4 linked regions of the Drosophila melanogaster genome follow. The main gene of each other region encodes a partner of the protein of the gene in region 3 in a complex. Each region holds a gene or a part of one and is shown on either strand. Other genes may lie near its edges.

The links.
Region 1: MED23 (region 3) and MED8 share a complex: the UniProt entries of both Drosophila melanogaster proteins name them as parts of the mediator complex.
Region 2: MED23 (region 3) and MED4 share a complex: the UniProt entries of both Drosophila melanogaster proteins name them as parts of the mediator complex.
Region 4: MED23 (region 3) and MED1 share a complex: the UniProt entries of both Drosophila melanogaster proteins name them as parts of the mediator complex.

What each region holds. Positions count from the first base shown.
Region 1 is NT_033778.4:20,324,471-20,330,166, forward strand, and holds MED8 (mediator complex subunit 8), read right to left. Parts: upstream 2,337-5,696; 5' UTR 2,253-2,336; coding exon 1,494-2,252; 3' UTR 1,374-1,493; downstream 1-1,373. Other genes in the region: tapas, read left to right, coding at 378-651, 709-860, 919-1,067, 1,126-1,343; CG8929 (uncharacterized protein), read left to right, coding at 3,589-3,664, 3,857-4,551, 4,636-4,727, 4,794-5,160, 5,239-5,694. UniProt on the Drosophila melanogaster protein: Component of the Mediator complex, a coactivator involved in the regulated transcription of nearly all RNA polymerase II-dependent genes.
Region 2 is NT_037436.4:7,248,036-7,253,792, reverse strand, and holds MED4 (mediator complex subunit 4), read left to right. Parts: upstream 1-3,265; 5' UTR 3,266-3,348; coding exon 3,349-3,585; intron 3,586-3,643; coding exon 3,644-4,183; 3' UTR 4,184-4,264; downstream 4,265-5,757. Other genes in the region: CG14830 (uncharacterized protein), read left to right, coding at 1,595-1,617, 1,685-2,113, 2,175-2,694; Cdc27 (cell division cycle 27), read left to right, coding at 5,112-5,135, 5,214-5,289, 5,359-5,757. UniProt on the Drosophila melanogaster protein: Component of the Mediator complex, a coactivator involved in the regulated transcription of nearly all RNA polymerase II-dependent genes.
Region 3 is NT_033778.4:22,885,324-22,895,808, forward strand, and holds MED23 (mediator complex subunit 23), read left to right. Parts: upstream 1-3,604; 5' UTR 3,605-3,690; coding exon 3,691-3,729; intron 3,730-3,791; coding exon 3,792-3,885; intron 3,886-3,939; coding exon 3,940-4,904; intron 4,905-4,962; coding exon 4,963-5,049; intron 5,050-5,104; coding exon 5,105-5,307; intron 5,308-5,359; coding exon 5,360-5,736; intron 5,737-5,796; coding exon 5,797-5,971; intron 5,972-6,027; coding exon 6,028-6,516; intron 6,517-6,574; coding exon 6,575-6,901; intron 6,902-6,960; coding exon 6,961-7,184; intron 7,185-7,242; coding exon 7,243-7,325; intron 7,326-7,381; coding exon 7,382-7,529; intron 7,530-7,598; coding exon 7,599-8,256; intron 8,257-8,317; coding exon 8,318-8,458; intron 8,459-8,516; coding exon 8,517-8,826; 3' UTR 8,827-9,102; downstream 9,103-10,485. Other genes in the region: YME1L (YME1 like ATPase), read right to left, coding at 1-33, 91-488, 593-619; asrij, read left to right, coding at 1,320-1,379, 1,436-1,925, 1,984-2,210; Gmer (GDP-4-keto-6-deoxy-D-mannose 3,5-epimerase/4-reductase), read right to left, coding at 2,303-2,470, 2,527-3,084, 3,143-3,257, 3,312-3,436; CG3700 (uncharacterized protein), read left to right, coding at 9,142-9,394, 9,460-9,673, 9,737-10,352. UniProt on the Drosophila melanogaster protein: Component of the Mediator complex, a coactivator involved in the regulated transcription of nearly all RNA polymerase II-dependent genes.
Region 4 is NT_037436.4:21,626,934-21,637,247, reverse strand, and holds MED1 (mediator complex subunit 1), read left to right. Parts: upstream 1-2,801; 5' UTR 2,802-2,952; coding exon 2,953-2,986; intron 2,987-3,051; coding exon 3,052-4,332; intron 4,333-4,408; coding exon 4,409-6,315; coding exon of another isoform or gene 6,316-6,336; exon of another isoform or gene 6,337-7,127; intron 7,128-7,334; coding exon 7,335-8,540; 3' UTR 8,541-8,923; downstream 8,924-10,314. Other genes in the region: CG32444 (uncharacterized protein), read right to left, coding at 1-262; ORMDL (orosomucoid 1-like), read right to left, coding at 1,126-1,261, 1,479-1,630, 1,687-1,863; Alg11 (ALG11, alpha-1,2-mannosyltransferase), read right to left, coding at 8,974-9,055, 9,113-9,786, 9,848-10,306. UniProt on the Drosophila melanogaster protein: Component of the Mediator complex, a coactivator involved in the regulated transcription of nearly all RNA polymerase II-dependent genes.

The sequences.
Region 1 (5,696 bases), 2.6 Mb from region 3:
ATGTCATCTAATCACATCGTCATCAAGCTCCCTAAACAACGACATCTGAATTGTGACTGGTGCCCTATAAGTTTATATTAACAATATAATTGATCCTTTGCTTAATGCTATCTCTATAAGTGCTTCAATAAACCGGAACTGACTTGATATGTTATTGCTAACACAAATTCGATCTACGTTTTGTAAGCTTACCCTAAAATCATGCACATCTTTGTATATAATCTGAAAAATATACTCTTAAGCTGCCACACATATGTACTTTACTACCCAATAAGCCCGAAAGCAATCAGATTTTTTAAACCTTGAAACCAACAATTGCCTCCCAATCCCCCAATCTGGCTTGTTCCCGCCCCACCCTTGATTCCCCACCCACACAGCTCCATTCATCCGGAGAAGTATGATCATACGCTCCTGAGCTCCAATGTCCAGCTGCCCAGACGCGGTAGCTTCAGCTCCGTGTTCTCGAATCAGAGCAGCAGCAGCGACCTTGTCGCTACCACTCCCCCGGTGACGCCAGAGAAGAAACCATCCGCAAGATCGACCGGCAGCACCTTTTCGTCTCTCATGCTCAAGGATTACGAGGCTATTCCGGCAGTGGGTGCCTATTTCGAGGTGCGCGTTGCCCTCTCCGTCAATCCCGGTCACTTTGCGGTAAGTCAATCATCAGCAAATTAATGACTCCGATTATGATGTGCGATTCTTCCGCAGGTGCAACCGTACAAATACTATAACCAGCTGCAGACTTTGATGAAGAATTTACAAGAGCATTGCCAAAAGACGGCAGCCAAGGGAGTGCAGCCTTCACAACTGGCCATTGGAGAGGCCTACGCTGCCCCTGACTCCGAAGGCGTATATCATCGGTAAGAACTTATTCAGGTCTTGCAATAAAAACGCAGACTAAATCTGTTAATCTTGCAGCGTAAGTATTCACAAGATTTACGATGAGATTATACACGTGCGTTTCGTCGACGTGGGCGACGATGGAGTAATTGCCTGTGATCAACTGAAAACTCTAAATCCGGAGTTAAGAAAGCTGCCCAAGATGGCATTGCCAGCACAACTTTATGGCAAGTTCAAGAGAACTTCAGCAGTTTGGCGTTAGAACTAAAAACGATCTTCTTTCAGGCATACAACTGACTGATGTAGTATGGAGCAAGGAGAACTGCGTCCGATTCCGGGAACTGTCGCTGGGTCAGAAGTTTATTGGCATTGTGCGGCGAATGACTAAACAAAAGGATGGCGGACGAGCGCTGTGCCTGGAGCTGGTGGACACCTCCACGCCGAAAGATATTAAGCTGCACGAGATTCTCATCAATGAGAAGCACGCACAGCCAGCAACATAAGAAGTCTGAGTCGGAGGAGACGATCCATTTAAATTTGTTCATGTTTATGTTTGCGTAATCCTAGTTTTAGAATTAGGAATATACATATAACTTATTACGACGAAACATTCCGCCAGATGGAACCGATAATAGCTAATAAACTGATGTTTTTTATCGAGAGAACGGATGCACTTGATTTGCGGACTTGATGTTTGTTTTCACAGCCGATGGCGCCTTTCCCAGCTGCTGCTGCACGTTGCCGGGACTCATAGCGGGTCCACCCATTGGCGAGGGTGCTCGAATTGAAGGCGGTACCATCATGCCAGGTCCGGGTCCATAGTTGGTCAGCTTGAGTCCTTTTCCCATACCCACGGCGGCCACCAGGAGCTGTGTGTCGGCCATGCTACTCGTCTGCTGGATGCCGGTGCGCGAAGAGCTCTCGATTTCCCACTCCTCGCGCGCTTTGCTGACCATATCCAGGACGTGGGAGACGACCTTGTTGTATTGAGTGACCTGTTTCATGGCAGCGTCGTTGGTGAGGTTCGCCGCCTTCTGTTCGTTCTGCAGCATTTTCTGTTCCGTAATCGGATCCGGCCGAGTTCTCAAATAGTCTGGAACAATGTCGTGTGAAAAGACTGGCACCCGACCCTCTGTGATGTTGATGAGGGTGTCATCCCGGTCCATGGAGACCAGAAGGGGCAGGACCGTTCGATTTCTTAGCGGCGGACACTGCTCCTTTGCCAAGATTTTCGTCAATCCCGTCAAGTGACTTGAGATAATGGCAAAGTTGTCCAGGAAAGTCGGCCAGTTGATGGTCTCGTACTCTAGCTCAAGTTTTTGGATCATCGAGAGAACCGCCAGCTTCAGGTCGTTCAGACGCTGAAGGACCGTATCCAGCGTCAGCTCAAAAAGCTTTTCGTCGCGCTGCATTTTGGAAACTCCCAATTAAACTATTATTTTTAACTTCAGTCGGATGGACACAAAGTGGAAAGTGTGACCGTGGATCTGCTTATTATCATTTGTTAGTCGGGTGTAATAAAATACTGCAACACCGTACTATCGATAACGTTTGCGATAGCAGCAAACTGGCGTCCACACTACATTCAGATCCTAAAATTAAAATCATATGGTCAATTAAGGAAACTGAACAATAAAAAATGAATTAATGCTCACCAATAACTAATAATTGATCGTTATTATTTGTTTCTGTTTTAATTTAAATAGAACTAATAACTTTTATTTTTGCAATAATTAGCAGAATCGTTAATGCATACTTAAAATAATGTCAAAACAATATGATATGATTTAAATAGTCTAATATATAAAACATTCCCAAAACGAATAGTGTTTTCAACTACGAGCGCCTCTTGAAATAACACAATATTTATTATTAAAATATATAAACTGACTCGAGTTCATCAGACTCTGAACAGTCCTTAGACTATTGAAGCCAAGCCATCGATTGTGCCCCGGCATATCGATACTACCAACATGGCCGTCGAGAAAAATTGAAGTGAACGCAACGCCGTGTTTTTCATTTGCCAATAAAACGTTAACAGCTCACGAAATATCGTAAAGCGTGCCCGCAAACGTCGCCAAATGTAAGCAAATTATTTTAGTGCCTGTTTTACATCGTTTACATAATTGCCAGAGCTGAAATTCGAAATTTAGTTGCTGCCGTCGGGAGTATCGCCAACTTTTGCCTCACACTCTCTCTCTGTCTCGCTCTGCATTCCTCTCGTGCTGACAAGGCAAATATATTGGTGCTGGTGTGAGTGTATGTGTGAAAAATGGAAGAAATTCAAAATGCATATGTGAAAAGATATACGCGCAAGCCGATTAAAAATCGGCTCTCTCGCACGATTTTGATTGGGACCACAGGTCCCCGACCCCCGCGGCGTGATATGGGTTAAATGACAGCCGGAGCGCGTCCGCGATTCTCTCTGCGTTTTCAGGTCTCTCCGCTCTATTCCCATTCTGTATAACTCCGCTCCTGATATTGTTGTTGCTTTGTGTTAGCCATTTCTAATGCTCTCTTTACATGTTTCTATATTCAATTGTAATATATTTGCAGCTTGTTGTGTATGTTTTTGAAATGGTAAAGTGTGTTGTCGCGTTCGCCAAACCGAATCCGAAACAGTAAACCAAACCCTAACCGATTGGGGGTAATAAACATTGAAACCCGAGTACATACATACATATATCTGTCGCGCGATATATATACATATACATAGTTGCCAAAGCGATAGAAATCCGAAATCTCGCGATGGCGTCGCGCAGGCGCGCCGAACTGAATCCAAAACTGCACATGGACAGGCAGCCGACAGCTGCCCGCATAACAGGTACCTGAACTGAAACTTCTACCAACTACCAGCAAGCAACTGCATAGAAGTGGGAAAACCCAATTACCTCGCCGGGATTAGCGATGTCTAAGGGCCCATAAACCCATCAGCCCGTCTTAGGGGCTTCCCGGAACAAAGCACCGCCCACCACCCTGCCAATCGAAGCTTACCTTTTACCTCTCAACCTTGCAGATCCCTCATTACCCGCTGGAAAGCGACGCGAGATCGACAACGTGATGAAGAAGGCGCGCGCCAACACCACCAACGATTATTGGGACAAGAAGCTGATCGAGGCAGAGGAGAAGGATCCAAACCGATGGCGCCACACGGGCTACAAGAAGATGTACATCCAGGGGGAGAGCAGCTCTGGAGAGAGCGAACGCGACGGTCGCGAAGGTCGTGAGGGTGGAGCACCGCCCTACGGTCGTTATCCGCCCACAGGTGGACCGCCGCCAGGTCCACCGCCTCCGTCGCAGCGTTACGGACGCTCTCGTTCGCCGCACTCACGCAGTCGGTCGCGTTTGCGCAAATCGCCACCGCTTTCACCACCTCCGCGTCGTCGTTCACCGCCCATGGCTATGCACAGTGGCATGGATCGCCGTGGTGGACCTCGCTCGCCGCCAATGCCACGATCGCCCAACAATAGCCACGATGCCCTCATGCGTCGACCCGGAAACGGCCACGGCGGAAGGCCCCGATCACCGCCGGAACCCAGTGGTGGCTCGTCGTCCTCGTCGTTGCGACGCAAGCCAAACGCGTCGCGTTCTCCGCTCGGACGTCGCCGGTCTCCACCGCTTCCTCCGCCCTCGTCGTCGGCAATGGAGAAGCGAGGTCCAGTCGCCCATATCCTGCCGCGCTCCAAGCGACCGCCATCGCCACCACCGAGGGTGAGTTTTCAACCAGATAGTGATACATATTATTCTGTCAGTGAGAACCATACCATTTATACATATATCCGTGTCCCTTTGCAGCACTCGATGCGTTCGCGATCAAACAGCTCTATGAGCACCAGCTCCGATGATTCCTGCTCCCTCTGCTCACCCAGTCATCGTCACAGATCTCGGTAAGTATTGATATATGAAATGTGTTTTCTTTGTTCCTATTAAACTTTTTTTTTTCCATCTTAAAGATCCCGCGGTCCGCGCTCGCCGCCACCCAAGCCACGTGGCCATTATCGTTCGGGGGCGCCTCCGCCCCCTCCGTCGGAATCACATGGCCGTATCCATGGTCGCCCCACCACTCCACCGCCCGTGCGCGGAGGTGGAGGCAGTTCGGTTTCCGCCATGGAGAAGTATCGCCAGGCGAAGATGCGTCACATCGGGCATGAACGTGTCGCCTCGTCGGACACCCACATGAAGATCGCGCGGTCCTCGCGCCATTCGCCTCCGCCGGAAGATCCGCGTCTTAAGCACCGCCCGCCAGAGCCACCAGAGCCGGCGTCAGCGCCAGCTGCAGCACCTACAACACAGGCAAAAAAGAAGAAGAAGGAAAAGGAGGTAAGCATTGTCCGAAGCTAAGAGTCAAAATAAATTTGAAACCAAATATAACAATCCATATATATTATTTTCCATCAGGTGAGGCCACGCATTAAAATTGAAGGTGAGAAACGCAAAAAACATCCGAGCGGGACGTCCAGTGGCACCGGAGCTAACGCGGCAAACTCCTCCTCGGACTCGGACGATTCGAACGGCTCGGACAGCGACGAGGTCGGCACGTTGCCCACATTCTCGGCTACTACGCGGCTGACGCTCTCGGATCGATTCGGCAAAATGGCGCAGTGGAGCATCGATCGCAGCAACATGGAGAACATGCGCATCACCAAAGACTCCGCCGGTGGGGCCCTCAAAGTAATGATTGAGGAGGGCCTGGAGTCGCCGCCGCGTCGCTATTCGTATTCGCCGGCACCGGCCGGGCACTTTCCGGAGGAGTTAGCCACCACAGCACCGTCGGGAATGCTGTCGTGGGACGATGTGCGCGTCCGTTACGAGTACTACAAGAGTCGTGGTTACCTAAGAGACTTGGACCTGAAGGT
Region 2 (5,757 bases), on a different chromosome or scaffold from region 3:
CGATTGGCTTCAGCTGAAATAATAAGAAGGCTGGTCGCCATTTCTGTGGAGGATTGGCAAGCGGAGCAGGAGGAGCAGGCAGCCCATCCTAGCTGGACCAACATGGCCCGATAACGACACCCTTTAATTGGCCTAATCGAGGCAATAACTCAATTTTATCAGCTGCCAGGCGTTAATTATATGCTGCGAGAAAAGGAAGCTGGTAAATTATAAACAGCCAGATTCGTTAAAAATAAATATATAAAAAAAATGTATCTGATTACGGACAGTTGTGTTGTGCAGCTGATTAATACTTCAAAGCATTATGCTAATAATAAGAGGCTGGCATAATATGGGCACAAATCTCAAACAGGTTCGTTAAAATTCTTGGCAAAAACATCTAAATGTGAGAAGAACTCTTGTTTTTCCAATATATGGTTACTTTTGATTGACACATTCGAGTGTCATAAGTAGAACTCATAGTTGGCAAGGGGTTAATGATGCACAGAGGAAAATCAGGTACCTAAACATAGTAAAACCTTTGTTTTGCTAAACTATCTTACCTGTTGATTGACATATACGAGTGTGATAGAAATGCTGATTTATGAGCAACTGGGGTGCGTAAACAAATGCATGGTAACATCGGGCAGAGATTAAGTTTGCGGCCGATGTAACCAGTTTGCCCTTAACCCGCTGGCGCTCCCTTTTAACAACTGTCACCTCGGTTCGGTTGGGTCGGGTTGGCTTGGATTGGAGTGACGCACCCAGAACCGAGCACTACGTGACCAAGTGACAAATTGCCGGCGAATGGCGAATGCGAAGGACGGGCAACTTCAATTTCTCTGCCATGAACTTGAAAGAACGAACGAACGAATTTCTCCAACTTGGCTGAGTGCCTGCGGTGTTCCTGGTGGCCAGGATGGTTGGCATTGGTATGGGATATGGGGGCGAATTTAACGGAAAAGTGCAACGAACTGCCATTCCAATCATTAAGCTGGGTGTGTCCTCCGCTCGGGAACCATAAATTGATATAAGTTATGCAAGGCGTAAGGGAAGTTTAAGGTCTGTTTTGATTGCAAAATGGAATTCATGGATGCAGAGAATCTACTCCATGGACGGCCAGCTTATCGAAATACCTCCTTCTTTATGATCCTTTGTCGCGTGTTTAATATTAGCAGGGTATCGCATTATTTTCAATTAAAAAACATTTTCTCTGGAGTTGCTTAAAATTTTTAATGATCCAGATGTTGCTCTCGAGTTTATGTGTAATTTTAATAAATATTAACTATTAAACTTTTACAACGAGCAGAGAACCCAGAGCCATGAAACTTTACGTTACGCTTGTGAAATTCAAACAAACCAGTTATTTTATTGAATATGGCTGCTGTCTGCAGTCGAATAAAACTTTCATCGCTCTAATTAAAAGTTCTAAGCTAGTCGATAAAGTGAAGCCAAAACCTAATTGCCATGAAGTCGAGCTCATCGTGTGTTTGTTTTGCTTTACTTACCCATTGCAGGCACCTCGAGGAATTGCTAGACGGGTCCATTAGCAGTCAATCAGCCGCAGAGAAGAGCCAGCAAAAGATACAGATACAGGCGGAGCAAAAGATACAGGATGCACGAGAGACAAGTGAAGAAGTGAGTAGCGCGGATGGGCCACTTAACGGCTAATACAGCGGCGATAACATTTGCGATCCAATTACAGGTTGAAGGGCAGCCATTATGTGGCCACGCACGGTCGCCTCACTCCGGATCCGCCCTACGTCCACTCGAACCGCGGCTATTCCACCGACGGCGATGAGACCCACTCCCACCGGGCGCCCTCGGAGCGCACCTATTCGGAGTACACGTTGACCCACGAGCGCATCTCGCCGCAGTACAATGGTTCGCGCAAGAAGCGCTCCTCATCCTCGAATGGAAACCATCAGCATCAGCACCTGCAGAGCAGCTACAGCCACAGTCAGATGGGCCTCTCCAGTTCGCCGGACAACGGAGGACCTCGCTCCCTCAGCGGACCGCCGCCCACGCGCCAGCCACCGCGTGCTCCGTCCGCCCTGAGCTATGACCAGGCTGGTGACGCCGGCAGCGACATCTATGTGACCAGTGCCGCCTACAAGGCGCCCTCCGAGATCAGGTGCGTTGTTACAACTATATAGCATATAACCCATATCTAAACTATCTATCATCCATTACAGTCGCTACAGTCAGCGTCCAGTGTCGCGAGGAGCTCCACGGAGTGTTTACTCCGTGGCCAGTACGGCCAAAACCGGACGCAGTGCGCGCTCGACGACTCGGCGAGGCGCCAAAGTGGAAACCATGTCCGCGCCGAATCCATTTTGCCCCAATGTCAAGGGCGTGTGCTGTCTGATGCTGTTGCTCAACTTGGGCCTGATCCTGGTGACGCTAGGATTCGTCATTGTGGTGCAGTTCTATGAGCCACTGTACGTGTGGATACTGGGAATTGTGTTCCTGGTCTTCGGCTTCCTCACGCTAATCGGCTGCATGATCTACTGTGTGTACGTGTTCCGGGATGCGAAGACGCCATCGCAGGTGCGCAACGAGGATCTCTACTGGACGCGGCACTGGCAGAAGAATATCGGATACACGCCGCAGGAGATCAACTACAAGGCGGACAAGTACGATGCCTACTCGGATCGCTATTCGGTTAGCAAGCTGAGTGGCAAATACTCGGATCGCGAGAGCCAGCGATACTGATTGTTATGCATATGTACATATGTATGTATGTACATACATATGCGGTTTGATGAAAGGGGATCCTTTGGGCGGAGAAGAAATATGAATAGCCACATATAAACCACTTATATCTTAACTAATTGTAAGACTATCTACTAGTTCTAAACGGTTATTAACAAGGCCCCTCCAACGTACCTGCTGCAAGTTGCTTGCTGGTTTGTATGTTTTAAGAGTGAAACTGACGGGAGACGCGAACGCGAGGATGCAACAGAGTATTGTAATCTGCCATATTTGAGAAGGTTTGTTAGGTTTGATTTGGCTAATCAACAGAAGAGTTTTATGCTAAAATTGTAACTGCAATTGTAACACACGAGAAATAAACAAGCAAATAATACCTACTAGAGATAACGCTGCGAATTTGTTTTATTTTTGAACAGTCTCTTCTACTCTTTGCTTTTGAGTACTTGATTCCCTTTTTTTTGAGTGTATGAAATAACCCATGTGGCAACTCCTATTAGTCTGGCAACCTCTCTGTTACGGTATTTTTACAACGTGGTATTAACAGCGCTCCGGAATACTATACGGTATATTTCAGCAATCGAAGAACGGCCACATTGCGGTGTGGAAAATAAACAAATTGCAATTATTGCTTAGCACAAACGATTTGCCGTGATAATGTCGTTTCATTTGAGCACAAAAGAGCGCCTTCTGCTCCTGATCGACGACATTGAGATGATTGCCAAGGAGTTGATCGAGCAGGCGCACCAGAAGATCTCCAGCACCGAATTGGTGGACCTGTTGGATTTGCTGGTGGCCAAAGATGAGGAATTTCGCAAAATGCTGGAACTGGCGGAGGAGCAGGCGAAAGTGGAGGAGGCGATGGACCAACTGCGCGCTAAGGTCGAGGTGCACGTAAGTAGAAGTTTTGCATTCCCCAAAAATAAGGTATAATCTGGATTTTCCCGCTTAGGACCGTGAGATCCAGAAGCTGCAAAAGTCGCTAAAGGATGCGGAGCTCATACTGTCCACGGCCATCTTCCAAGCGCGACAGAAACTGGCCAGCATCAATCAGGCCAACAAACGACCGGTTTCATCCGAGGAGCTCATCAAATACGCACATCGGATTAGCTCCGCCAATGCGGTCAGTGCTCCGCTCACCTGGTGCATAGGTGACCTGCGGCGTCCCTATCCCACGGACATTGAGATGCGCAACGGGCTGCTGGGTAAATCCGAGCAGAACATCAACGGCGGAACAGTGACCCACCAGAACAGCGGCATGCCCTCGGAGCAGCAGCGAACGCTGTCCGGTAGCGCAGGAAGTGGGAGTGGCAGTGGCGCCGGCGGCGAGGTGCCCAATGCCTTCCAGAACCAGTTTAACTGGAATCTCGGAGAGCTGCACATGACCATGGGCGCCTCTGGGAACACAGTGGCCCTGGAGACGCGCGCCCAGGACGATGTGGAGGTCATGTCCACGGATAGCTCAAGCTCCAGTTCCAGCGATTCGCAGTAGAATTGGATAAAAAACTATAACTAAATCTCGTTTAAGCTAGTAGTATTAGGTATTTAATAAAAGCGCGCTGTAAGGAAGTCTAGTTATGTATATATTTGAGTAGCTGGGATACATATCTAATTTTATGACCTTCTTTAATGATATTAATTTACAATTTAAATTGGCATTTAAAAAAATGCAAAGTTATGTATCAGTGGAAACAGCTTATAATAGCTTCGTGTCAAGAGCTTGGTACTTTTGCGCTAGTGCGATACGGTCCTCCTCAACCATATAAACAATCGATTGGCAGGGTCGCGTGCAATCGATACTTTGACAGCTCGCAATTATTTTAGCTTTGGTTTTTCAAATAAAATGGAATGCAACGCGTATGCAGCGTGTTTCAAGTAGCTAAAATGTGGCCAAGGTGTAGTCCAGTGTCGCCGCCAATCGCAGATCAGCCCCGTGTGCGTCTTTAACGAGAGATAAGCCCCGAAAACGATAGTAGAAAACCGACCCCCCGTTCGCAGTGTGTGTGTACAGAGGGCGAAGCGAAGCGAAGGCTCGACTCAAACCAATTGCAATATCAAATATAAAGAAAAAGTGGAAGTGGAAGGTGGAGTGGAGTGGAGGCCAGGGAGCGAGAGACACCGCCATCGCCACTTGCATCGCCGCATCCGCAATCGGGTTACATACGACACTCACATACCACACAGCCAGCCAGCACACAGGCCAAACTTTTACTTTTTCCCATTCGATATTGTTGGAAAAAATTTGGCCAAAAGAAAACAATTCGAATACAAATACAAACAGAAGAGTGTACGAGTGGGGGGCGACATGATAGTTTGTTTGAGTTCTACACACTGCATGTTTGAATTATTGTAAAGCCCTGAAGTACAGTGAACGTACATCTCATAGAGCGCCCCTAGAAAGTCGCACATACCGCCCAGACATGATGATTCAAGAGCCCGTGCAGGTAAATCAATAGCTCCTCGGTCCACCTGGCCTCTATAAAAAACCAAATTTTCTCCCTTCTTTTTTTTCGCTCCCAAAGGCCGCCATATGGCATTGCCTGAACTACTACGACTTCAAGGATGCCGTTTTCCTGTCGGAACGCCTGTGCTCAGAAGGTATAGGTCAAGGTCTCGTTTGTCTGACCGGGTATATCACTGATTTTCTCTTTCACCGTGTCCTTGCAGTGGAGAGCGACGAGACGATATTCCTGCTGGCCACCAGCTACTTCCGCTCCAATCAGGTGCACCAGGCATATTGGCTGCTCAAGGAGAAGGCACGCCGCTCGCCGCAGTGCCGCTTTCTGCAGGCCAAATGTGCCTACGAGCTGAAAAAATACGCTGAGGCGGAGAGTGCCCTGATCTCCACGGGATTCGCGGACGCCAAGAACTGCGATGAGCTGCAGCGGGACTTCGGGGATCTGGCCTGCTTCGCCTATCAGCTAATGGCCCAGATCTGCATGAGGACCGAGCGCAATAAACTGGCCGTTAGTGCTTTAAGGCGCGCCCTCAAACTGAACCCCTTCATGTGGCACGCATTCGCGGATCTGTGCCTGCTGGGCCAGGATACAGATGCGGCGGCCATAT
Region 3 (10,485 bases):
AGAAGACCTGGTGTAATAGTTGGAATCACCTTGCTGAAAACATAAACCAGGATTAAGCGGAGCCTCGAAAGGATAATTTGCAATACGTACACATTGGCGCCTGTGGGCACGGAACCTGCTGCACCGGTTAGCGAAACTTCGAACTGATAATTTTGCAGCTGGACACGACCGATCTGTGTGGCCGACTCCTCCAACGTGACTCGGACATCGCGCATGGAGGGCAGCATGCTCGTCACCTTGGCCAGCACATCATCGACCAGCCGCCGGTCGAGAATGCCATTCAGTCGAGCCGCCCTCTCCACCATGCCCTGTATACTGGCGCTCGAACGGCTCAGCAGGTTCCGCAGGTCGAGCACTAGGTCATGACTCCGGCTGGACGTGGACGTGGACTTGGACAACCGGGCAGCTCCCGCGCTCCCGTGCAGCTTGGTTCGATTAACGGAGTAGTAGTGCGGCTTTCTGCTGAAGTTGCCTAGGTACAGGTAGGGCTGTCACATCACATCACACGCAGTTCCCCGATTCCAAGTGTTGGGTGGTAGAAATGGAGCAGTCAGGTGGGCGAATGAATGTATTGTCATCGGGCAGCACTTACCACGGAGTGTGTGGTGGTGGAAAACATTGCCAAAACTACAAATTTCAATAAATTACAAGGGCAGGCTCAGGATCGCGGCCAGCAGACGACACAGCTGTAACTTTACTTGACAGCGAAAATGTCATAATCTCGTCGCGTCGTGCGCGTTGCATCCCTGGTTCTGGTGGTGCGCGACTTTCCACCTCTTATCAAAGCACGCGTTCTCCAATTACTGGCAATTTTCAAAAGTGTATTCGTTTGTCGACTGGTGGTTTTGATTTTATTCGATTTTTAATTTGGTTTATATATCTAAACTGCCTCTCCGTACAGTCAACGCTGCTGATAGTGTTGCTAAACTTACATAAATATATAAAATTTTGTATAAATAAAATGAATGATAATCAGCGCAAACTTTGCATTCTATAAAATGTGATTTGTTTACTACTAAGATCAAATGAAAGTCTATTCCAAATTTTACTTATATTGACAACAAATTCCATTGTATCAACTGTAAATGAATGTTGTCTTTGTTATTTAGTTTTAACTTCTTAAAGAAAAAGGTTTTTAACCAGTTTAGGATAGACAAAGAGTCCCTATCGCAACCATCGTGCATAGATCGACCATCACTAGTTCTGGAGATGTGCAGAAGTCACTGGCCCGTTTCGCCGGCGACCAGGGTTGGCAAATCGGCTGCGCCGGTAGTTGGTCCGTTATACATTTCACAAATTCCACATTAAATTGTATCAGCATGGACTCCCCGCTGAACGATGGCTCTCACCATCCACCGCCGCACGCTCCCCACCCCCTGGTGAGTGCTCTACGGTCCTTAAACTGCCACTACCCAAACGTTTGCATCTATTTCAGGCGGACTATCAGTTTTCTGCGGAGGAGGTGAAGGCGTTACGTGAGTGCAACACTGAGTCTTTCTTCCAGCGCAGCCTGCCTTTCGGCACTGGACTGGGCCTGCTGGCCTACTTCGGCGTCAAGAACGGCTATTTGCAGGGACACGTCAAGTACGGCGCCGTGCCCAAGGTCGTGATGGGCGTCATTCTGGGCTACTTTGTGGGCAAGTTCAGTTACCAGCAGAAGTGTGCCGAGAAGATCATGCGCCTACCCAACTCCCATCTGGGCGAGCTGCTGCGTCAGCGTAGACAGGGCGGCGGTGTCATCAGCTCCATCACACCGGACGAGAATCTGGGCAGGGCCTTCACTCTGGCCCCCTTCTCGCCGAGCTCGGCGGACGTGTACAGCGATGAGGCGTATCAGCCCGGGAGGAGCACTTCTCTCAATCTGGACACGGAATCGCGCCCTACTTTGTCCGGCCTTGACGACATCTACCGCCCCACCCTGGACTGTAAGCTCATCTAATTCTTCGCATTCCCTATTATGATTCTGTACATTCTCCTTCCCAGCAGCTGGTTCAATGCTGGAGGCAGAGTTGCCCTTGGAGCCGTCTAAGCCGGGCCAGTCTTACGAGGACCTGCGACGAAGGAACCGAGAAGAGTATTCGAAGCACCAGCAGAGTCCATACTCGCGACCTTACGAACCACCAGTTGCCGTTCAACAGCGACCCGTGGAGCAGGCACAAAGTGAACCCGCTGGAAGGAAGAACCAATACGGCGACTCCTGGACTGATTAAGGTATTGTTATTTTGTTGGACATTAAACGCGCATAAAGTTCTGTGAAAATTCGTTGTCTATTTACATTTTTTTTTGGGGTTGGAATATTCAATTACTTTCTAGCCTGGTCGTAGTTTTCTATGTACCACTTAACCGAGGCGTTGATTGCCGTTTCCAAGTCCGTAAATGCGTAGTCTGGCAGGAAGGAGCGAAGCTTGGCATTAGACGCAGTCTTTTTGTACTGTCCATCCGACTTGCTCGTATCACAGACCAGTCTTCCCTGGAATAAATCAAGTTAATATCTTGCCTTGTCTCAAATTTCGCTTTTTAACCCACATTAAAATTAAATGCTTTTGCAACGGCTTGGGCCACCTCGAAGATCGTCACCTCCTGCACTTCGTCCGCGCTTAGGATGATGGGCTCCACACTTTCGTAGTTCCTGAGCACCCAGATCATCAGCTCCGCCAGGTCCCGGGAGTATACAAACTGCCGTAGTGGCATGCCGCTTCCGAAAACGGTGAACACCTTGTCGTTTTCGGGGACGTCAGTCTTCTCCGTAACCAGCTGGTGCATCCTATAGATCATGCCCGGAATAACGTGGCTGACCTCTGGATTATAGTTGTCGTGGGGACCGAATATGTTGCACGGAATGACCGAGGTGTACACCCGGCCATATTTATCGTGGTAGGCGTGGTTCTGCACGTCTATCAGTCGCTTTGCGTAGGAGTAACCATAATTGGAGGGGTGCGGCGGCCCATTGTGCACCATGGTCTCATCTATGGGGTAGCTGGTTTTGTCCGGAAAAATGCATGTGGACAGGCAGGACACCACCTTCACGCATCCCTGCTCGTGTGCCGTTTGCAGGACATTGTCGTTAATGAGCAGGTTGTTGCGCTAAAAGTGGATTCGCATGAAATGGGTTTTGGAATCATCTGTGAGACCAGGAGCTCACCAAGAAGTCCAGGTTGTTGTTCATGTTGTGGAACAGGCCTCCGACCATTGCAGCCAGATGGATGACATGCGTGGGCTTCTCTCGGGCGAAGAGTGCCTGCGTGGCGGCCAGATTTCTGTGGAGAGAATTTGTTTACGGATACGTTCAATTGAATTTCTTCATGACTTACGTCAAATCTGCATCTTTAGAGCCCGCAAAAAACCATTGCTCGTCCTCTGGGGACTGCTCCTTGATCACAGCCTCCAGGGCCTTGCCCACCAGCCCAGTTCCGCCTGTAACCAGAACTTTCTTCATGATTTTTGTGCGATTCCACAAATCAAGTCAATTAGTTTCTAAAGTAATTTTCGACTCAATGCGACCAGCTGCTTTAAATGCCGGCTAATCAGTCAGTGCTGCCTGCCTGGCGTTTTTAATCTAATCCTTTAGCTATTTCTTGTTATCAGAAAAAGCCACTTTTAGATTCTTTACTAAGCCCCATTTGGTCACACTGTGCCCAGGTAGTTTTTGTTTATGCGGTGTCGGATATGCGAAAAATAATTTAAATGGATATGGAAACGCAAGTTATAGACACCGTTAACGAGTTTCTGGTAATAGTGAAACCCTGCGTCTCCAAAAAATCACCCACTCATCCACGCTCTCCATTTCGCAGAAGGTCGACTCCCTTGACGAGGCGTTCGTTAGCGTCATTGTATTCAAGCCAAACACCGAGCAAGAACGAGCTACCCGCTTCGCCAATGATTTGGGTAGGTAAATGCGTCTGCTGGAACTCGAAAATTGTTAAAAACTATCTGTTTCAGTTACCGCCTTTGGGAACGTGGCGCAGGAGAACCGGGAGCAGGTGCTTCGGCTCTACCTGTTGCGTGCCGCCGGTGCCTCCGGATATCACATCAAAGTGCTGATGGCGGCACTGGTGAAGCTGGTGGACGCACACGTGATCACCGCCAGGATGCTGTGCGACAAGGTGCTGATGTGCGAGAAACTGGACTTCGAGCACAGGACCTTCTGGATCGAGAGCTTCCGGCTGATCAAGCGTGTGATCGTCCAGGTGGACTACAAGGGTGTGCGCGAGATCATGAAGGTATGCCGCGACAAGGCACAATGGTTTCCGCTGAACGTCAACGTTACCTACATGCCACAGCTACTGGCCGTTGAGGATATCCTGCGATTCATCTTTGATCGCAACAATTGCCTGCTGCCCGCCTACTTTATTGCCAACGAGATTATGCGTCCGTTTCCTTACCACTGGAAACTCAACCGGCTGATGACCGACTTTGTCGAAGAGTTCCGCACCACGGCACAAATGGTTTCGATCATTGGACATGCCAGCATGCTTCCCATCGTAGAGCATTTCGGCTATGCCGATCACATGATGAACTCCTGGCGACTGGACCACAATACCCTGAAGTTTAACTTTAAGGGTAGCCTGCCCTACGAGCCAGAGCTGCTCGAAGAGCAGAAGCCCCTACTCCGCTACGTTTTGGAGCAGCCGTACTCAAGGGAAATGGTCTCTCAAATGCTGAACCTGCAAAAGCATCAGAAGCAGCGCTACAATGCCCTGGAAGAGCAGTTGGTTAATCTCATAGTGCAGGCCATGGAGATGACGGAGGCGAATGATGCCACTGCGGGAAGTGGCTTTAACTCCTCAGACGAGCAGATCACGCCCTACGAGTGGATGTGGCTGCATCTCTCTTCGCAACTAATTTACTTTGTGCTCTTTCAGTTCGTAAGCTTTATGCACATAGTGTTGGCGCTCCACGAAAAGGTAGGTCCATGGTGGATGAAATTAATATTTCTTGTAATTAACTACTTTTCACCTATAGCTTTCCAAGTTGGAGCTTCGCAAGGGTCGCGATCAACTTATGTGGATTCTGTTGCAGTTTATATCCGGAAGCATACAGAAAAATCCTGTAAGATCCTGTTCTCCACCTGATTGATCTTATTTTTAATCGCTTTTAATTTTAGATCACCAATTTCCTGCCTGTGTTCAGATTGTTTGACCTACTATATCCCGAGCTAGAGCCTCTTAAGCTGCCAGATATCAATAAATCCTCGATGGTTCGCCATATGGCACCCATTTGCGTTTGGATTCACCTGATGAAGAAGGCACGAGTGGAAAACATGAACATCACCAGACCATTGCCAATTGCACTGAAAAACCACTACGAGTAATACCTCTAACTTCCTTTGGTGTTTAGATACTAACTGCTTAATTCCCAGCTTTCTGCAGCACCTAGTCACGGCTAACACCATGATGAACATGACGCTAGGAAACGACTTCCGCATAATTCTCATCTGCAATGCATACTCAACGAATCAGGAGTACTTCGGGCGTCCCATGGGTCTACTGCTGGATGCCCTAAATGGCACTTCAAAATCTCCAAACGGTGGCCAAATCCCAGCCGTAACTTTTTCGGTCACGGTTCTGGACAGCTTGACGGTGCACAGTAAGATGTCGTTAATCCACAGCTTCGTAACTCAGATGTTAAAACAGGCCCAAAGCAAGGGTCAAGTTCCAGCGGCTGCACTACTGGAAACTTATGCCAGACTTCTGGTTTATACAGAAATCGAGTCGCTCGGTATAAAGGGATTCCTGAGTAAGTACAGCCTGTTGAAGTGATTAAACAATATGTTTATGGTTTTTTTTCCTCCTAAAGGCCAACTGATGCCAACAGTGTTTAAGAACCATGCGTGGGCCATGCTGCACACCTTAATGGAGATGTTTTCGTACCGGCTGCACCATGTTCCTACTCACTACCGGGTCCAATTGCTGTCTCTCCTTCATTCTCTGTCCTCCGTGCCGCAGACAAACAAGATGCAGCTCAATCTCTGGTTAGTTATACGTTTATCGAGTATAGACTTCTTTCTAAGTTCTTCCCTTTGTATAGTTTTGAATCTACTGCACTGCGTCTGATCACCAGCATTGGATCCGCCGAGTTTCAGCCGCAGTTTTCGCGTTACTTTAACGACAAATCTCCCGGAGCAGTGGCGTCTAATGAGAGCGAAGAGCTAAACAGAGTACTTATTCTTACGCTAGCTCGATCCATGCACGTACATGGTGGCGGCGATGAAATGCAGGGATGGTGCAAGGACTTCCTTTCCAACATCATTCAGCACACGCCGCACTCGTGGCCCATGCATTCCCTAGCCTGCTTTCCGCCCGCCTTAAACGAGTACTTTACGCAGAACAACCAACCTCCGGAGAACAAGCAGCAGTTGAAGAAGGCCGTGGAAGAGGAATATCGAACCTGGACGTCGATGACCAACGAGAATGACATAATTGCGCACTTCTTGCGTCCAACTACGAATCCTTTATTCCTTTGCCTTCTGTTCAAAATAATTTGGGAGACGGAGAACATAAGCCCAGTGGCTTACAAGTGCGTAACATTATGATTTAAACACAATCATTTTTTCTGACCATACCTTTTTTTTTAGAATTTTGGAGGGTATAAGCGCGAGAGCCTTGTCCACTCATCTGCGTAAATTTTGTGACTACTTGGTGGCTGAGGTAGCTAGCTCATCGGATGGCCGCGACTTTATTCACAAGTGCGTCGACACCATTAACAACATGATTTGGAAGTTCAACGTTGTGACCATCGATAGGGTTGTGCTTTGCCTGGCTCTGCGAACGCACGAGGGTAACGAGGCTCAAGTCTGCTTTCTCATAATTCAGCTGCTCTTGCTGAAAGCCAGCGAGCTGAGAAATCGTGTTCAGGAGTTCTGCAAGGACAATAATCCTGATCACTGGAAGCAGAGCAACTGGTAAGTTGGACACTTGATTTTGTTAAGAGCACAAAGGCATAGTTGTTATTATTTCTCAGGCAGGACAAACACTTGTCATTCCATCAAAAGTATCCAGAGAAGTTCGCGTTGGACGAGTCAGCTTCACAGATTCCGCTGCCCGTGTACTTCAGCAATGTCTGTCTGCGATTCCTTCCCGTTCTGGATGTGGTAGTGCACAGATTTATCGAACTTACCATTACAAATGTCCACCAGATATTGGGCTTCATTTTGGATCATCTGAGCATACTCTACAAGTTTCACGGTATGTTAAAAGTGGCTTTCGAGAATTTCATAACTTTAAATTACCCTTTAAATTGCAGATCGACCTATAACATATCTGTACAACACCCTCCATTATTATGAGCGAATCTTACGAGACCGCCCTGCGCTAAAGAAGAAACTTGTAAGATTTGTTATGAATATTATATTCCCTTCTTCTAATACACTGTGTTGTTCCAGGTTGGCGCTATCACCAGCGCCTTTAGCGAGATTCGGCCGCCCAACTGGAGTGTTAGTGAGCCGTACAAGGTGTATTTGCAAAGCCAAGACTCGCTGTGGACCCCCGAATTGAGCTACTATATGAGTTTGATCAGGAGACTTGCAGACAGTAAGCTAGGATTTGGGAAAATACTATGATGTGTTCATATATTCATGCGTAACCCCTTTTATTTTGCAGCAATTAGTGGGAAGAATGTATTTTACTCCACCGATTGGCGTTTTAACGAGTTCCCGAATGCGCCAACCCATGCGCTCTATGTGACATGCGTGGAGCTGCTGGGTCTGCCGGTGGCACCGCCACTGGTGGCCAGCAATCTCATCGATGTTATAGTAAGCGGATATGCGGTTATTCCGCAAAAGGACATTCACAGCTACATTAATGCTGTGGGCATTGTTCTGGCTGCCTTGCCTGAGCCCTACTGGAGCGGCATATACGATCGCCTACAGGATATGCTCAACACACCCAATATGCTGAACTGGACCTACAGATTCAATGCTTTCGAGTTGTTTAACTTCAAGACAGTGCGTGAGGCGATGCTAGAAAAGACCTACGCCGTGGTGTTGGCAGTAGCTCACTCAGTGTTCCATCACATGGGCGCCTTTAAGCTGGCGGCAATGACCAGGTACCTCAAGGAGAAGCTAAAGCCGTGCGTGCGAACCGAACAACAATTGCTGTATTTGTGCCACGTTTTTGGCCCCTTCCTGCAACGAATAGAGTTGGAAAAACCGAACGCTGTGGCTGGCATAGCCGTGTTGCTTTACGAAATTCTTGAGATCGTGGACAAGCATCATGGTCCGAAGCCTCTGCAGTACATGGACCAGATCTGCGATTTCCTGTAAGCAAATCCACAAAATCGCATGAAAGGGTACTAAACAAATGTGTTTGTATCATTTCAGCTATCACATTAAGTATATACATGTGGGTAATATCATTAAGAACGAATCGGAAGCCATCATTAAGCGGCTACGGCCCCTGCTGCAAATGCGCCTGAGGTTCATAACCCACCTTAACTTGGAGGATATTCACACTGAAAAGATGTAAGGGCCATTTAATTCAAACTCTACTTCGGTTTAAACATAACTTTTCCAATTTCAGCAACGACAATACCAGCAATAATGCAATAACCAGCCAAACGCAGTCTCCAATGCAAACACAGCATCAGCAGCAGCCGCAGCAACCACATCAGCAACAACAGCAGCAACAACAACAGCAACAGCAGCAGCAGCAGCAGCAACAGCAGCAACAACAGATGCAGCAGCAACAAATCAACGCAGTACAAACAACCAGCGTTCCCTTGGGCAGCGGTGGCAACCTACAGCAGCAGCAGCAAATCAACCAGCAGCAACAAATGTATATGCAGCACATGCAGCAGCATCAGCACATGCAAAACATGCGCCACAATTAGACTTTGTGGGACTCCCAAGTCAGTTCAAGCTGACATAACGACATAAGCCTAATTTATAGTAGTATTATCTTATATTTTATCGCTTATTGCATTATTCATTTTCCATTGAATGTGTAAACAGTTCTCAGATATGTTTAAGTTAGATACTAAGGGAACTTTTTGTAAGTCACAGCTGTCGGCCCAAGTCCTCCCTCCAGCTTTACAATCAAAAGCTTGACTTAATAAGCCCAGCTTAAAGCTCTTCGTAGATAACCTGTAGTTGGTGATCTTGTCCACCTCGAGCGCCGTTCTCAGTTGTGATCGCAGAGCACTGCGATGTATGCGCTTCCGGGAATCCAGATTCTGTTGCTGATTGCTTCAGTCAGCGTGGTGACCGAGTACTGCGACAATGGAACGGGCGAGTGCAAGGAGCTGACGCCCTCCGACTGTCCAGTGATATTCTACAACCAGCACCTGATCGGAGCCGAAGTCAAGTACTGCGACGAGTTCAACGACATTGTCTGCTGTCCCATACCGCTGGATCACCAGAATCTGAAGCCAGCCGAACAGACGAGGCCTTTTGAGAAGCGTGAGGAGTGACTGCAACAATTCCCTTCGATTGATGGAATTTGAATATTCGTTTTTTTTTTTTAGAGTGCAAGCAATACAACGAGGTCAGATCCGCCTGCCAGTCCACGCCCTTCATCGTGGGCGGCACAAAGGCATCCGGTAAAGAGTTTCCCTTCATGGCCCTAATCGGCACTCATCGGCCCAACAAGTCCAAGTCGGACATCAATTGGGATTGTGGTGGATCCGTGGTGCATCCCAAATTCGTACTGACTGCGGCGCATTGCCTGGAGACGGATGAGTAAGTATTCTCTGGGATTCTCTTGAGTGATACTCCTTCCATATGTGTACTTTTAATTGTCAGATCGAAGGCCGAGCGACTGGACCCAAACTTTGATTCGCCCAAATTTGTAGTTCGCCTGGGGGAGCTGGACTACAACAGCACCACCGATGATGCTCTGGTTCAGGACTTTCGGGTGGTCAACTATGTGGTGCACCCTGGATATGATACTGAAGACGAAGAGCAGGGCTTTAAAAACGATATTGCCCTGGTGGAACTGGATCGGAAGGCTGAGTTCAACGACCATGTGGCAGCGGTATGCCTTCCGCCAGACAGCGGCAACGATGTTCAGCAGGTCACAGCCGCCGGCTGGGGATTTACCGCGGACGGTGTGAAGTCCTCGCACCTGCTGAAGGTCAACCTCCAGCGATTCAGTGACGAGGTGTGCCAGAAGCGCCTGCGTTTCAGCATCGATACACGCACCCAGTTCTGTGCCGGCTCAATGTCCAGCCAAGCGGACACCTGCAACGGTGACTCCGGCGGACCTATATTCGTCCAGCATCCGCTCTATCCGTGCCTGAAGCAGGTCATAGGGATTGTCTCATATGGATTAGTTTGTGGCTCCCAAGGACTCCCGAGTGTCTATACCAAAGTCCACCTCTACACCGACTGGATCGAGAGCATCGTGTGGGGCAATTGACAGTTAGGAGTCGTAATATAACAAAAAAAGGATAGTTTAAAAAATAAAAATATTTCAAATAAATCAAATTACCTTGAAATGTTTATGATTTCAAAGCATATCAGCGACGTTGGGGCCCTGAAACCTCGGCGTT
Region 4 (10,314 bases), on a different chromosome or scaffold from region 3:
TGGCCACTCGTCCGAGGGTCCCACCGATGTAGGCTCCCTTGTTGGCCAAGTAACTGGCGATGTCGTCGAAGCCGAGGCACACATCATCCACCTTCTTGTAGGCGTCCGGCAAGCAGACGCTCTGGATGATGGCCCCCAGTTGGATCACTGACACGGTCATGCCCTTGGAGTTCTTAAGCGTGTACCGGCGCACCATTTCGGGCGACTTGGTGAACGGATTCACGGCCAAGCCGAAGATTTCCTCCTCTAGGGTAATCGACATCTCGGCGCGTCTCGGTGTCGTTCCTTCCCCTTGAAACGGCTGACAGCAACTGCCTGGGTATCAGGCATACTCCGATCCGGCACACCTCTGTTATTATGAATTGCCAAAGTCGTTCGGGTCGCGAGCTTCTCCCTCAAAGTCAAACCGGGCAATCAGCTTGTCAGAAGTCGATTGCCCATCCCCCGCATTTTACCGCCCACAATAATGAGAGATAAGCTGTCCTGTAATCGCCACTTGACTGGAATTTAGAATAGTTTTTCAGGGGCGCGACTTTCTCGAGAGCTCATAAAACAGAAAAAGCTTTTTGTTTGTTGTTGTTTGCTTGTTTGCGGCGAGTGTTTGCATTGTATCTGTATAGTATGTCTATAATCATTTTTCGCCACTTAAGTTGATAGCAGTACTTTTGTATGTTGTATGATTATATTTAAGAATATTTAACAGAAAAAATCAGTTAACGGGTTTTTCTTTCATGTTTTCAATCTTTCGGCTTATATATGTACTATACTTACGCACCCCACTCACTGTGCTTTTCGTCACTACGAAGACTTCTGTGTACAGCGATTGATCAAGTTTAATCCTTTGGGCTAAAGAACTACATCATGGTTCTACTTAATCGTCTGACATAATGGGTTATAAAATATCTCATGTGCTGGCCCCCAAATACATCTTTTAGATGATTTGTAGTTTCCATGATCAATAATTATTTATGCAATAAAAATCGAAACGCGATTTTTAGAATTATTTAATTTGATAAATATTTTATTTAGCAATATTTACATTTTTGAGCAAGAGCTGTGCCATCAATATAAGTTTGTATGTACATTTTCATTAAACAAAATAAATGCGGCCCGTTCTCACAGGAGCTAGTACTTGTTAATGTTGAACAGCCGCACGCCGTGGAACTGCGGCAGCTTGGGAAGCGTGACGACCACCAGGGATATAAAGTTTGGGATAAAGTGTTCCGTGTTGTTTCGGGTGTACAGACAGGTAAGTAGGAAACTATAAAAAAATCAATTATTTCATGAGTTTCTATGTTAGGCATTATATGGTAGCAATTACATTACTAGTTCAATTAAACTGCAGTACATAAAAAGTATTTATTGAAATACTTTGATCAACATTAAAACAAGTTTAGAATTTAAGTCTTCATTTAGTTTTAATTTTTTTAAATAAAAACCCACCTATATTGGCCGACTTTCAGTACGTATTCACTTACAGAACAATGGGAACAGCTGTGAGGAACTTGCGCGTTGTGGTCATCTGTACCCCGTCATCGATCTGTTCCCAGTGCGTCCAACGCCGGCTGGGATCGTTCTCCGTGCTCAGCCAGGGAGCGCCCTTGATGACGTGCAGAAAGTACAGGTGGGCCTGGCAAGAGGGATTAGGATAAGGACTGACTCCTCAACGGCGCCATGAGCACTCACTGCATTGTGAAGCAGGTTGGTAGCCGTCCAGGCCCATGGAATGCTAACGAAGGGCACTGATAAGAAGAGCAGGTGCACCGACAGCAGGCCCAGGAGGTATGCTAGCCAAAATCCCCGGGCACTCAGCCAGGAGCTGTTTGGATTCGCCTCGCCGTGGCCTCCCGCAATGGACGTCATGTGGCTGAATTGTTAACCTTTGGTTCCGAAACACTTTAATAACAAATATTTATCATTTACGCTCAATGTGACCGCGCATGCATACAAATATCGCTCTGCACTTTGATGATAATAAATATACCAAAATAATTTAGAGAAAACAGAAATTTGAAATACTTTAAATGTTTAATAAAATTTGAATTTAAGCTTTTGCAATTTTCTATGAAATATAACATCTACCTTTAGTAAAGGTTATGACTACTTTTGATTTGTCGGACCAAACCTATATTCAATATAATCCGTATATCTGTCGTAGTTTAGGTAAGTACGAGGAAGAGAGGAACGCTTAAGACTTATCATGAATTTAGCGAAATAAAATTTGTTTAAGTCGTAAGCTGTATTTGTTTACTTATTTGATTAGTCCTTAAAGTTTTTTTTAGCTGATATTTATTTTTATAGGATTATAGTTTCTTTCAAATCTCAAGAAACTTTAAATAATCATTTTCGGTTTCTTGGAACAGAAACCCCAAATTAAACTTTATGCCAATAAGACATTTAGAAATCATTGGAAATTTTAAATAAATATTAAATCATCGGTATTAAATTATGAGGCCTGTAATTTATTTTTTAACGAAAGAATGTTTGAGCTTTTCTGTTCATTACAATACCCTTGTAGCTTAAGAGAAAATTCGAGTAGGAAATGAGGCACAATTACATCATAAAAAATAGAATGTAAAAGTACCAGAAGGATGTATAGAATATAGATGTTAATTGCTTCATTATATTTACCCCTCATACTAAAAAATATAACATACATAATTGAACAGGCAATTGATACAAGCTTTGAATCAGAATACATCGAATATCAAATGACGCAGTGGAAATATCATAGTTCCGTTTTATATTCCAGTATTTTATTATAGCGTGACCAGCCACTGTGAAGGATCAGCCATTTTGTTGTTTTGGCGTTGAAATTTTTTTGCCATGATGAAGGCATAGAAAAAAGGTTCTGAGCTATTTAGATCGAGAACTTTTTCATTTGCCGCAATTCTTTGTCAAAAATGCCACAGCATCATTAAGTAAATACAGTTTACTTAGGAACGCATAGATATGAGCGGATCCAATGCAAAGTCCTCGGGGACTGGTAAGTACTAATATATACCCCCATAACTAAGATGTCCGGAGCACCACTGACACAAATCTGCACAGGCTTCGGCAGCCACATTCCCAGCATCGAGGAAAAGAACAAGCAGATCCAGCAGGAAACCATGATGGAGAAGCTGCGGGCCAAGTACCGGAACAAGCCAAAGAGCTACGAGGAGATCAAGAAGTCGGTGCGTATGTACTTTATCGAGAAGCACTACCCTCTGGACCCCCTGTGCAAGGCCACGCTGCAGTCGGCGCTGGACAAGTTGCAGCACTACATCAAGGTCACGTCACGCCACGGCCTTGTGGAGCGTTTGGAGAGCCTCTCGCGCCAGTTGGGCCTCAAGTTCATGGAGGACCAGCAGCTTCTCTTCATATCAACGGACATGTTCTACGTAGAGATCCTGCTGGACGCCGCCGGCAGTCTGTCGGACGTCAAGGTGCACCACGAGTGCAAGATCGAGCAACAGTCCAGCGAGCTAGTGGCCTGCCTCAAGTCTGGCGACTTTGCAGACTTTACGGTTCAACTCGAGGGTCTGTCCTCCATTTACCAGCTGAATGCCGAGCCCAAGGTGAAAAAGAAGGCGTTTGTAGCGCTTCAGGCCATGGAGACGGATATCCAGAGCCTATACCAACTGCACCTGCAAGGTCACTCCGGAGACAGCTACTCACTTATGACAAGTTCATCGGTGGGTCTTGTGCTGCCCCGTCGCGGTGGCCATCCTATGAGGCTTACTTATTTCTGCCCGCCGCTCCACCTTCCCGAAGGGGATCCCAAACTGGCCAGCGGCGATTTCACCATCGACCAGGTAATGCGAAGCAGCTACGGACTGAGTGCCACTATCAATCTCGAAGGCTCATCAGCCAACAAACTGCAGACTTTGCCAACGGTGACTTTGGTCCGCGATGCCCAAACGGGGTTGGAGGTTCCCACCTATGCCCAACTTAACCAGAACAACTCGCTGCTGATGCCGGCCACGTTTGTGCTTCGGCTGAACAAACCCATGCCTGTTTGCCTGGAATCACTAAAGGCTCTCGGTCTGCCCGGTCTAGACTCAGTTGCCACTCCTCCTGGTCCGCCCACCACAGTGCTTAATCTCATAGTACAAACTGCATCGAAGCAGGCCATTAAGAACACACAGCGCGGCCTGTATGTGAATTTACCTAAAGAGACGCACTGCTATTTCTTTACCGACAACCGCAAACTGCAGGGAACTCTGGTGTCATCACTGCCCTTCACTGAACCCGCCCAGGTTCCGCGAATCGTGGCGTTCCTCAAGAAACAAGCTCTCTTCTACACCCTGCTCGCAAGCTGTGTTCGTGAGCAGCAGAAGCAGTATAATGGTGAGTTGGGTGCTCCACTTCCCCCCACATTCCTGTTTTATGATAATAATATTTTTTTTATGCTCATTCGTCCCAGATATGGACAGCACTGTGATACTGGAGGTAACCGCCGTTTCATTTAATCAAATCACGGTTGAGCTGCAGCACCCGTACGAAGAGTCGCTGGCCACTGTGGATTTTCTGCTTGAGGATGGTCAGCCCACGTGCAGCGTTTACTGTCTGACCAACGAATACGAGCTGCTGTCCCAGAAGTTAACCCGCACCGCGCGCAAAGTGGTATCCATTCCGATGGTAATCTACAAGTTGCTTAAGTGCTGGGATGAGGAGCACGAATTCAAACTGCATGGCGCGATTGGACCTGGATCTGGTTCTGGAGCAATCGGAGGTGGAGGCATGAGTGGTGGTGGACCTGTCTCAGGAGTAGGCAATAACTTTAGCCAGTTTTCAATGGATACGCCGACGCCTTCCGATGGAAGCCTACCCGGAGGTGGCTTCGCCAACATTAACAACCTTAAAATGGATGCGAAGTCGCGATCTCTAGCGGATGCTTTTGCCGCTTCTACTTCGGCAGCAGCGGCCATAGCGGGTTTGATCAATCTTAAGCGGGAAACCGATCCACAGTCTGGTAGTTCGGCCAGTGGCACCACGGTCAGCGGCAGCTCCAGCTCATCCGGCTCCGCCAAGACGAGTGACCATGACATTGCTGACAAGTACAAAAATATCTGGAAGGACAAGACTCCAAATTTGAAGCATTGCGTCAGCATCACCCCCATCCCAGGAGATGGAAAGTCTGGATCAGCTGGGGGAGTGTCCGGGGTCGAGGTACAGCGAACGGGTGGTATCGAAATTATTCCATTGAATGCCCAGGCGGCTATAGCCGGAGGAGGTGTTACAGCCTCATCCAGTGCCACTCCCACGACTATAACTATTACCCCAATAACTGGCAAGGATCCCAGTAAGGACTCAACCAAAAAAAGTACCGCTGCTTCAGCTGGAGTAGGTGTGGCCGCAAAGCGTCCCCACGAAAGTAGCACAAGTAGTTCGTCTACGTCCGGTTGTAGTGGTTCTGGCAGCTCCATGTCGTCTTCAGCCAGCAGCGGCTCTTCAGATACGCAGAAGGAAAAGAAGCGCAAGAAAAAGCGCGACGATTCGCCCATGGGACCGCCGGAGAAGATCTATTCTAGGCAAAACTCGCCTGCAGGTGGCGCAGATGCTTCCGCAACTGGTGGAGTGGTTCGCAAGTTTTCCTCTCCCTCGTCGTCACCCAAAGCTGGTGGCGGTGGACAGGGTCTAATGGCCGGAGTGCCGACTGCCCGTCCCAGCCCCAAGCACTCTCCCGTGTATAGCAGTCCCAAGCACAACACCGCCTCCAACAGCCCGAAGTCGCCGTTTGGCACACACTCACCCAAACACGGCTCTTCCGGAAAGCCGAGCATGTCAACGCTTAAAAGTGCAGCTACAGCTGCCACCATCTTAAGTCCCAAGGGCGATAAGTCCTCGTCAGCTGTGGGTAACACATCTTCGGGACCATCCGCCTCCTCAGGATCCAGCGGAGCTACTGGCCTGGTGAGGTCATTTGCCAGCGTTGGAGCTCCGCCTCCACCACCTCCAATTCCTCCATTAGCGAGCTCGAGCGGATCTATCAGCAGCAGCCAGAGTTTAAAGAAGGAGAAAACCTCTTCGGCATCCGGTTCCAGTTCCACATCATCCTCGGCAACTGCAGGTGTCGCATCTGGCGGAGGTATTTCACCGGCAAGTGTGGCTGCTGCAGTAGCTGCCCTGAAATCCTCACAACAGCAGATGAAGTCAGTCGCCAGTCTTTCGCATCTGGCGGCGGGCGGGGGACTGGGTAGCTATGCGGCCCCGTCGGGAGCGGGAGCATCTGGTGCAGCCGCAGTGGTGGTGGGAGCAGGAGCTGGCGCTGGAGCGGGGGCCTCCGGACTGGAGCTGAGTGCCCTGCGCAAGGGCATGGCGGGAGGTGCGGTAAGTCCGTTTTCATTATAAGTGCTCCACTCCACACCACACCAACCCACCCCCAGCATCTCCCACTGGAAGCCTAACACGTAGTTGACTCTCTGCCACCTCTCCTAACCAATGCAGAATCAAACTCAGAGCGAACCTATCTTTAAACTAATGCAAATGCTGTATTTACTTTAGCTATAAAACGATTTGTAATTTGCCTACCTCTGCTGTAGTTGAAAATGATTATATTTAGTACTATGATTATTATTTTTGTTAGTGTTTCGTTTTGCCTTTTCTAATTTTTGTAAATACATATGATTCAATTATTTGTCATATATACTGCTGCATCCGTTTTATTTTCGACCAAACCCAAAACTCGTATGGTAATGGGGCTTATCCCCAAAACACCAGCTTAAACCTCTTTTTCTGCATTGAGAACGTATGTTTTTATTATTAGTTAATCTGTTTGATTTGTATAGTTGTTTGGCCAGCATGTGGCATGTAGAAAACCATGGCGTACTGGTTCACCAAGTTTATAGTGTCTACAGTATTGCTGGATTTATAAGAATGTGTATGCATATGACTTTTAAGCTTTGTTAAGAACATCAGTAAATAATGTGTAAATTAGTAGTGCTTGGCATCTTGACTCTACGAGTATTATAATTTGATTGTTTCCCCTTTTCTAGATTTAGTTACAAGAGTTCCTTCTCACTTAAATATTTACTACGTTTAAAATTAGTGTTTAATGTGCTTATGATGTACACTTTGAAAGTAGCTCCACAAGCGTTTGCCTCATACATTTTCTCCTCAAAAATATATTTCGTATCCGACTTAACTATAAAGCTAATTATTAACGGGGTCCATTCTTCTTTCTTCCTGTTTGTATTCCCTTCCTACACTACCAATGGTTGTGAAATCCCACAATTTTTTCTTTTGCTACACGTGATGTTCCCCTTTTTGATTGTTATAATTTCTTTTCTGGTTTATTTTTGGTTTCTTTGGTCCCTAACACACACACAACCACATGCTTACTTTGTCAGGTTAGTTTGATGACGTCGACGGCAGCTTTAGCGCCAACAATTCCGGCACCAACAACAACAGTGGCAGCGGGCTCGGCAGCGTCATTGGTGTCTCCAGTCTCAGCGGTAGTGGGTCAGGGGCAGGAAACAGCGGGAGCAGCGGCAGCAGCAACGCTGGCAACAGCAACAATTCTGCAGCAGCAGCCACAGCCGGGAGCAGCGCCAACTAGTAGCTGCTTAACCACCAGCGGGGGCAGCAGCGACTCCGCCGGGAGCATCAATCCGGCCGGAGCCTCCACGGAATACATGGTGAAGCCCAGCAGCCAAGAGGGCCTCAAGCTGACCATCAACAAGACGGGAAGCAGCAAGAGCTCCGGCACCGGCTCCGGCTCTAGTTCCTCCTCTGGCCTCCAAGCGAAGGCAAAGAGCAGCAGCAGCGGCGCCACGAGCTTCGCTGGGTCCACTGGATCCACGAAGAAGCAGCATACCGGACTCAAGCCGGGCGTTAACAGCGGACCCGCTTCCAAGAAGGCCACCGCAGCGGTCTCGTCCGCCACGGCATCATCCAGCAAGCATTTCTTCCAGAAGGCAAACTCCTCGGGCAATCTCAGCAGCAAGCTCAGTGGGTCGGGATCAGGTGGCGGAATTCCGCTGACTAAGAGCAACAGCACTAACTCCTTCCAAGAGCACAATGCCCCCAGGCGGCGTCCCAGCATGGGAGCCTTGGCTAGCGGCAGCAGTGGAGGAGGCAGCGGGCAGCGAAAGTTAGGCTCCGCTTCGGGAGGAGGCAGCGGATCTTCGGGGTCGGTATCGCCGGCCCTTAGCGGCTCAATGTCGCAGCCACCGCCGCGATTCGATCACCACACGGATATGATGACCATCCTCCAATACGCTTCTCCGACAATGGCCGCAAGCATGGAAGGCTTCATCAAGGGGCTCCACAACAAATTCCAGATCCCAAAGTTATCGCAGAGAGGAAGCGGAGGCAATACAACCAGTGGACGCAGCACGCCAAGTGGCAGTTCAGAACCGGCTTTAGCGGGAACATCATCTTCGATATTAGGACCTATTGCCAGCTCTACTGGACTGACGGAGCCGGAAGCGAAGCCGCCGGTGCCTCCTTCGCAGTCTGGCAATGAAGGACTGCTCAATCTTAGCAGCACGGCGGGTACACCATCGGCGGATGGGATAGATGAGGAGCTTTTGGCTAGCCTGGCTGGCGAATGACAGAAGAAAGACAGCCGTCATGAGATATTCCTGTTGCTCTATGCGATTTTCTCTTAAAGCTAGCATAGTGAGTTAGTTTAAAGCCATTAGTTACACGATTTTGTTTTATGATGCATAGAAACTAAGGATCTTATTAGGCAATTTCTTAACTTTATTGGCAGAAAAATGATTTAAAACTCCAAAGGAAATAAATAAAATTTTACAACACGATGGCGAATTTGGTACAAAATCTCAGAGATTATTCCCGATTCTGTTAAGTCGATCAAACCGAAATCACCTTATGCTTTAAAAATGCATTAGGTAAATCTTAAGGAAAGCGATGCGATATGTACGATAAAATCGCTCTAAATATGTTGTAGAGTATAATAAATGTATTCAGTTGGAGATTTTTGGGCTTTGCATATTTATTTAGGTGCGGGCGTACTATTATTTTTTAATTGTTGGTAAATAGCGTTGAAACAGCTCGAAGAAAGTTTTTTTCAAACTCTTGCTCAGAAAACCGTTCCACGGAGGCCCTAAAAGCGAACCAAAATATATTAAAGTGTGCAAACTGTAAATGTTTATCTAGTTACCTGGCTGCGTTTCGAATGCCGTTCATTTCTGAGTTGTTAACAATAATATTTAATATGTTTTCTGCGTATTCAACGGCGTCAGTAGCCAGGAATCCGTTCTGACTTCCCGCGGAAGTTTCGACAATGTCAAGCAAAGGACCCCCTGACTTGTGGGCCACCATTATAAGGCCAGCAGCCATGGACTCGACGATGCCGATGCCAAAATGTTCGTTCCACATAGTGTGAATGCCAATGTGGGCAGTTTGATACAACTTAAGAAGGTCTTCGTAAGGGACATTCACACTAAATTGCACATTGTTTTCTAGCGACAGATGCTTTGTCAGGTCCTGCATGTTTTTCAACCGCTCGTAGTCATCTTCATTTCGGCAGGAGCCCACAATAACCAACTTAATTTGGTTCCAAAGGGCCTCGTCTTGGGCCAAGAGAGTTCGGAGCTCGTATATGGCTTGCAGCTGGAGGGGATGGTCTTTCTCCGGGCGGAACTGTCCGACAGACAGTATGATGAATTCGTCGCCTTTTTCCGTGTGCTGAAGGCTCTTTAGGTGACTAACCTCGCACGGAGGGTAAACCCGGTGTGTTTTGAAGGGCACATCCCACAGTTGCAGAATATGATTCTCGGTCCACGAGGAGTTCACCATGATAGTCTCAGCACAACAGCCAACCCACTTGTACATCTGAAAAAAGGGTAAATTGGTATACAGCTGTGCATTGACTAATTCGAATTTGAACACTCACTCTTGAGAAGAGGCGGTAGTAGGCAAGCTTAGTCCAGGTGAGAAAGGGGTTCCTCGCCACGTACTTCTTGTTGTTGTGCGACATCTGTCGCTGCTGAACCCTCTTCAGCATATCGGTGCTAATAACCGGATAGTGAACATAGCAGCCCACCTTGGACTGGGCCAAGTAGCGGAACAGAGGATACGTAAAGGCGTATCCCATGGTGTCGATGTAGATGTCGGGCGGAAACCTGCAGAGTGCCTCCAGACCCACGACCATCGATCCAATGCTCTGGCCCAGCAGAGTGAAATGAGGATAGTTCTTGGCCTCGATCCAGTGGCGTTGCTTCAGGAAGACGAACTTCACATTGTCACTATCGACGGCAATGTTGAAGACATTCTTGGCCTTTTGCAGTATGGAATTGGGAGAAGCGTCTATGTCGCCTGTGTAGATTACCATCCTGGCGTTCTGGTACTTTTCCTTTTAAT